Linked DNA regions of Macaca fascicularis. The protein of the gene in region 1 interacts with the protein of each later gene in a biochemical or structural test. Links are inferred from orthologs where the notes say so. Each region holds a gene or a part of one and is shown in the gene's direction. Other genes may lie near its edges.

Region 1 (3,820 bases):
AATCCCATTTTTGTTGCTGTAGTATCAGTCACAAGTTCCTTGTTTTAATTAAAGTTTCATGATTAATGTCAAATCCCTGGTTTCATACCAGCATTTTCCAACAGTCTTGTCTCTGGGCAGATTAATTTATGACTTTTTAAGTGAAGATAATCAGTGCTTTAGGCAAATAAACTATTCCATCACATCTAAGGATTCTTACCTGGGCTGACTGTACAAATGGTTCAGTCTTCCCTCAAAAGAGACCCAGACAGACATGCTATGGAATGCTCATGCAGTCATCGTCATAGCCAGAGGCGATGCTGGACATTACGGTCATTTTCCTTACTGAAAATGTTTCCGACTACATTTTAGGCCATACGGAAAATGGGTGGATTTCCCTCCAAACCATATTGATGCAATTCTGAATGTTCAAAAATGCAAATTGCATCATTCCTGCGGGAGATGCAGTGGCTTCCCGGACCTTCTTTTCCTTCCATGAGTGTCTTTGTGAACGTTCAGCCGTGTTGTGTATGTTGATGGAAAGGGCTGAGCAATACATACTGTCGCCAAATGATTTTCTTATTGATAAGTGGAGCAATATATTTTGTTTTATTACTCAATTGTCTCTTCCCCTCTTCCATTTTCAAGGCAAAAAAATTAGGGCATGTCTTCCTTTCTGGCACAGAACTGTTTTACTTCATCATAGCCAATCTTACTGTAAATTCATAAAACCATCTAGAGACTTGATAGTAAATTAAAGATGTTTCAAAACAACAATGTTTCCTGGAAATCATGCGCAACCCTGTTGCAGAAGTGGTAAGAATTTGAAATTTCCATATGACTCTGATTTACTTCCCTATCCTGGGGCGACAGAAAGCAAGTTAAGTGGGTTACCCTGGCCTTTGGTGAAGGTAAATGTTTAAGAAAATAGGGCTTACTCTACAGACTTCCGGACTCTCCCTCCAGTCTCGATGAGCAGGTATCCCGGAGAGTGTAAGTTGCTGACACACACAACTCAAAAGCCAGAGCTTTAAGGGACTGCCTGTTGCATTTTTTATCATAAAGAAGTCTAGACTTAAATCTTTCATAACCAAACCCACATTGTAATCCATTACATGTCCTTCATATTAGCTAGCGCTTCTGGCATTATGGTGGCAGCTGTGTAAAATATTTGCTGTGCTTGTTTAGAATTGAATTGTAATGTTCTAAAGCGAGCAGTTATTCCTACCATGGAAGCTACCAAACCTCTACTACTTCTCTGCTTTGCCAGTGTGTCTAAATTGCAGGAGATATTGGCACCCTAAGCGGAACAGACACAACCTGCTCAGACACAGGAAGATGACTCTCTTTTTTTTTTTTTTTTTTTGAGACAGAGTCTTACGCTGTTGCCCAGGCTGGAGTGCAGTGGCGCGATCTCGGCTCACTGCAAGCTCCGCCTCCCGGGTTCCCGCCATTCTCCTGCCTCAGCCTCCTGAGTAGCTGGGACTACAGGCGCCCGCCACCGCGCCCGGCTAATTTTTTGTATTTTTAGTAGAGACGGGGTTTCACTGTGGTCTCGATCTCCTGACCTTGTGATCCGCCCTCCTCGGCCTCCCAAAGTGCTGGGATTACAGGCTTGAGCCACCGCGCCCGGCCGACTCTCTTTTTAAGTAGCTGCACAGTCTAGTTCTCTCTCCTGTTTACTCATTGTTAGTTTAGTTGTCTAAGACCATGCGCTTGCTGAGGACAGTCACTTTTGAATTCTCCAGCCGCCCCTATCACAGTGTCTGGCATGTGATGAGAGAACAGGAATATTTATTGAAACCTGAAAATGCATATTCCATCCCATCCTGCCCCCTTTCCTCCCTCTCCCTCCTTCTTCCCACCCTCACACTAACCTTTGGTTTTGCTTTCTAGGCAAAGCAGGAAAAACGCCAGCTCGGTCTCCCAGGACTCTTGGGAGCAGAACTACTCCCCCGGGGAAGGCTTCCAGAGTGCCAAAGAGAACCCCAGGTACTCCAGCTACCAAGGCTCCAGGAACGGCTACCTGGGAGGACACGGCTTCAACGCCAGGGTCATGCTGGAAACTCAGGAGCTCCTTCGCCAGGAACAGAGGCGGAAGGAGCAGCAGATGAAGAAGCAGCCTCCTTCCGAGGGGCCGAGCAACTATGACTCGTATAAGAAAGTCCAGGACCCTAGTTACGCCCCTCCCAAGGGGCCCTTCCGGCAAGATGTGCCGCCCTCCCCTTCTCAGGTTGCGAGGCTGAACAGACTTCAGACTCCTGAGAAAGGGAGGCCCTTCTACTCCTGAGCGCGCAAAGAACGGATGCTTCATGTCACGCAATAAAAGACATTTTCCTATGAAGACTTGTATTTTGGGAGTTTTTTTAAAACCTCGATGGTACTATGGAGTATTTCTGTTGTTGGTATCAGTGCCTTTAAGCGGTATAGGCAAAGAAATGGAAGGCCTTAATGTCTTTGCCACGATGTCTCAAATGTCTGTTTCATGGAAGGATTTCCCACCCTGTGACAATCATCTGTTCGAGGCGTTCACATGCTGTGCGCCTCTCCACAGTGCCGGGAGTCTCGGCCCGACTCATGCGCTGTCCGCGGCTTGGTTATAGCGTCCCTGCACCACGTGCGAGACAAATTCACCTGACGCGGAGGATGACGCGCGGCCCTGTTTCTCCCTCTCAGTTCTCTGAGCTGTGAGATGACATCTCAGTCTCTGGAGGAGGAAAAGTGGGCGACATACACCAAAAAATGGGGCTTTCTGGTACTTCACAGCACAGCCGTTTGTCATACTTTGTCATCAGTGTGGTTTTCTCTTTCCTTTCTCAGCTCCTTGTGACGGGAGAGTCGGTCACCCTATTGCAAAGCTAAGCCATAGTCCAACATTGTTTGGTTACCATGGGGGTCCTTTTGTAACTGCCTTATAACTCAACATTACCAATAAAGCGATGATCCTAGTCTGCGTTTATACATAGGCTTGTTCGGTCCTGTTCCTGACGCGTGGGTTGAGCCACCACAGCTGTGTGTGGGGAACGTGGGAGACGGGAGTGGCTCCTGCCGGGGGAAGCTGGGCATGCCATTGGCCATGTGTCTATCAGGAGGGGAGAGCTAAGAAATAAATTCTCCTAGGAAGAGCTCATGGCCCAGTACATCCCAGTAATTATTTTCATTAGTTTTCGTTCTGACAGCTTGTCAGGAAGGGCACAGAATGGGACAGAGATAAACCAGACGGTCATTTTGATCTGCTCTCTACGGTTTTTCAAGTCAGAGGCAATTGATGCTTGTCTAATGCATCCACACGCTGCATATCTGACTGGCGATGCCACGCTCCTAAGTAATTCTGCCATGAAACATGAAAGACAAAGGAAAAGCCGTTACACATCACACAGAGAACATTTTCGGGTCCCACAGCGGCGGTGGCAGGAAGCTCACTCTCGCGTCAGTGTTTGAGTGTGTGTGTGGGTCTCGGGGACCTCGGTGGCTCCCATCGTCCTTCATCGTTCTGAACATCCTGTATTGTAAACGTGGCTGGGTTGCCAAAGTGCCTGTGAATTCCGAGGTGGAAAAAGCTGGAGGTGAAAGCTCAGTATACCATGTATTCACTTTAAAAACAGAAAAAAAGACATGTATGGATATGCCTATTTTTTTTTATTGGCACATTGTATTTTTGTGTTGACTTGTTTTTAGAAATGATGTGTCCACACACATACCTGTGTCTCTTCTACACTTCTGTGTCATGGTTCTCTTTCTTAATAATGTGCAGCCGTGTCTAAGTGGTGTTAGCAGTGTACGCGCAGTGACCTTGGATGACAGTGGCTCTTTCTCACAGCCTCCCCTGAGCTGTGAGAAA
Region 2 (3,820 bases), on another chromosome or scaffold:
GTACTAAGCATGAATCACCATTTACATAGCTGGTATTCAGCAACACTGAGCTGAAATGCCATTATCTTAGTTTCTTCTTCTACCAGATGGTAGACTCCTTCAAGACTGAGACTGAGAATAATAAGATACGTAATTAATCATAGCTGCCATTTGTTAAGTCCTTACTATGTCCAAGTCTGTGTGCTTTGCGTATCTTATTGCATTTGAAGACTCACAACAACTTTGTGAAATACTAGCCCATTTTACCGGTGAAAACTCAAACTTGATAACCAGGGAAATAAGCATAGTGTCACGCAGTTATTATGTGGAAGAGCTAGAAGGCTTCCAATTCATCTCTGCATTGAGCCAACATGGGACCCGTTGAAGTAATTTATGAATGAATGAATGAATAAAACTATAAAGGAGTAATTTAAATATGTTTAAAATGTTGTTACTCAGTTAAGTAAAATATAAATTCATGGAGACAATTAGAAAAACAAGTATTTTTATTGTTGTTCCTAGAGGCTATTTTAGCCTGTAAAACCCCAAAGAAGACTGTTTCCTCCAGATTAGAGTGGAAGAAACTGGGTCGGAGTGTCTCCTTTGTCTACTATCAACAGACTCTTCAAGGTAAGAAGCTGGAGGCTTGAAGAGGTGTGAGCAAGAGAATGCCAAGTACAACCAGGATCCTTTAATTGACAAATGAGATCAGGACATGACTGATTACTGAAAACGTGTTTTTGTAAGTGTGAGATGAAAGCAACCACGTCTGAGACATAAAACACAATAGCCACAAAAGCAGAGAACAGAGGGAGGTGAAGCCCACTGAATCCCTGGACTCTTCTTTCTCAATTCAGGCATAAAGGATGCAAAATGCAATTGCTCTTATTGGCTCTGTAGATTAAACTCTCTTTCTCTTTCTTTCTTTCTTTCTTTCTTTCTTTCTTTCTTTCTTTCTTTCTTTCTTTCTTTCTTTCCTTCTTTCTTTCCTTATTTCCTTCTTTCTTTCTTTCTTTTCCTTCTTTCTTTCTTCCCTTCCTTTCCTTTCTTTCTTTTCTTTTCCTTCCTTCCTTCTTTTCTTTTTTCGTTTCTTTTCTTTCTTTCTTCCCTTCCTTTCCTTTCTTCTCTCTCTCTTTCTTTCTTTCTCTCTTTCCCTTTCTTTCTTTTTCTTTTTCTTTTCTTCTTTCTTTCTTTCTTTCCTTTCTTCTTTTTCTTCCTTTCTTTCCTTTCTTCTTTTTCTTCCTTTCTTCCTTTCTTTCCTTTCTTTTTTCAAGGTCTTGTTCTCTTGCCCAGCCCAGAGTACAGTGGTATGATCATGGCTCACTGCAGTCTCCACCTCTGGAGCTCAAGTTATCCTCCCATCTCAGTCCCCAAGAAGCTGGAACTACAGGTGCACACAAGTATGCTCAGCTAATTTAATTTTTTTTTTGTAGAGATGAGGTGAGGTCTCCCTATGTTGCCCAGGCTGGTCTTGAACTCCTGGGCTCAAACCATCCTCCTGCCTCAGTCTCCAAAAATACTGAAATCACAGGTGTGAGCCACTTGCCTGGCTCCTGAGAGAAAGGAATTAAAAAATTGTGTGGTTTGGAAGTGGAAGGTTGCTTCTCAGTCATAATGCTGTCAACCTATTTCCTTAAGTCCATCTTGAAAGGCAGGCCACCACTGAGAAGCTTAGGGAGTTAAGACTTAAGAGTGGGTTGTGACAACAACCATTATCAAGTACTTTCTTTTCTTTTCTTTCTTTTGTTATACATTTCTTTCTACTACCAACTCTTGCCATTGAATATGTGATGAACTTATAATTTAAGACATTGATAATGATGGATGAAGCAAATTTCCATTTGCTTCAAAATAAACCAGTGGTTAATGATACAGATGAAACAAGATAAACCCTGCATTGATTACTATTATAGCTGGTCAATGATACATTGAGGTACAATTCACTCTACTTTCTAATGTTGTGTATGCTTGAATCTTTCCATTATAAATATTTCTAAAGCTGGAAATACAATTTTACAAGTGTAATAAACCTGTTATTATTTTAAAATACTATGTATTTCTTTAATGTTAAAGAATTAAGTGAAAATGTTTGAAGTTTGTAGAAAATTTAAAATATCCCCTCGAGTTCTTATATGTCAAGATAAAGACTACTAGCTGTAAGATGTTAATAGCACAGCTGTCTTCACTTGAATTTTCTGTAGTTGCCATTTCTGGCATGTGCACGTTATGCAAAACTATTTGAGCCACTGCACCTGCCTAATTTTTACATTTTTTAAAGAGATGAGATCTGGCCATGTTGCCAAGGCTGGCCTCAAACTTCTGTCCTCAAGTGATGCTCCTACCTCAGCTGGGACTACAGGTACAAGCCACCACACCGGGTGCAAAACACTATTTTAATTCTGAATATGTTACTATCAAAAAATAAAATAATGTTTTTAACCACCTTTTCTTGTGCCGCAGTGTTACGTGGGCCACCACACATAAAGTTACTGTTCCAGCCAATTAAACCAGACTCCCTGGTTTTCTGAAGACATGAATATTTTTACAAGGGAACTAGAAAGGGAATGAGGCAAGCATTTGAACTGAATTCTTTAAAATATAACATGGGGCTGGGCACAGTGGCTCATGTCTGTAATCCCAGCACTTTGGGAGGCCGAGGCATGCGGATCACTTGAGGCCAGGAGTTCGAGACCAGCCTGGCCAACATGGTGAAACCCCATCTCTACTAAAAATACAAAAATTAGCCAGCATGGTGGTGCACATCTGTAATCCCAGATGCCTGGGAGGCCGAGGCATGAGAATGGCTTGCAGTGAGCCAAGATCATGCCACTGCACTCCAGCCTGGGCAACAGAGCAAGACTCTGTCTCAAAAAATAAAATTTATATACATAATATGGAAGGGCCTCCGGGGCCAGGCCTGCTGGCAGCTGTTCCTCAGAGGGCCCACGCTGGAGGTGACAGCCTGCCAGGGAGCTGGGCACTTGGAGACGGGGTGGGAGCACTGGGGTCAGCCAGAAATCAAACATGTCAGTGAAGGCCCAGAGCAGCTCGGAAGATAAAATAACAGTCCACTTTATAAACCAACAGTGAAACATTCACAAACAAAGGAAACGTGGATAACTCTCTGCTAGATGTTGTGGTTGAAAATAACGTAGATATTGATGGGTTTGTTGCCTAGCAGGGAGCCTTGGCTTGCTCTGTCACCTCATTTTTGAAAAGCACATATTTGAGAGGTTAGACACAATCACTGACAATATGCTTGATCTGGCATATGGACTGACAGGTCAGAGTTGTATTGCCAAATCTGGTTGACAAAAATCTATGGGCCATATGACTGTCTGAGTACCTGATGCAGTGGCCAGTGCAAGACAATCCACTGACATGGGCAAGACCACCTAAGCTAGAATAAATAGGAATGCTTTCACTAAATTTTACCTATTTTTATAATTATGTCTTAATATAATAAAATAAAAACATGCATGAATGAACATTATTATGACCAGCTTTACTATCTTAATTCACCTTGTATAACTACTGAATTTTGTAGTTCTGAAAACATGCAATTTTTATATTTGTTAAATTAGAAAAAGGTCAGTTAAATATTAGAAAATAATTAATATGATAATACCTTACAAATTTTGCCTCACGTTTGTTTAGCAACTTTCAGCAAAATGTTTTCACATGGCCTTATGTCTGCTTACCTAGAAAGTAAATTTTTTGAAAAAGATATTATTATCCCTGTTTTATGTAAGTGAAGGCAAAGACCTAAAATGGCTTGTTAGGGCCATCCAAATAATTAGAAAATCTATGCAGGTGTGTACTGTAAGGTATATGTTAGACT

Evidence for each region.
Region 2: the proteins of PARD3 (region 1) and JAM2 form a complex in vitro, tested with the Homo sapiens proteins (2 studies listed by BioGRID and IntAct, with this or other methods). The link is inferred for Macaca fascicularis from reciprocal best matches to the Homo sapiens genes PARD3 and JAM2.

What each region holds. Positions count from the first base shown.
Region 1 is NC_088383.1:34,861,090-34,864,909, reverse strand, and holds part of PARD3 (partitioning defective 3 homolog), read left to right. Parts: intron 1-1,875; coding exon 1,876-2,269; 3' UTR 2,270-3,820. UniProt on the Homo sapiens protein: Adapter protein involved in asymmetrical cell division and cell polarization processes. Seems to play a central role in the formation of epithelial tight junctions. Targets the phosphatase PTEN to cell junctions.
Region 2 is NC_088377.1:21,348,609-21,352,428, reverse strand, and holds part of JAM2 (junctional adhesion molecule B), read left to right. Parts: intron 1-501; coding exon 502-609; intron 610-3,820. UniProt on the Homo sapiens protein: Junctional adhesion protein that mediates heterotypic cell-cell interactions with its cognate receptor JAM3 to regulate different cellular processes. Plays a role in homing and mobilization of hematopoietic stem and progenitor cells within the bone marrow.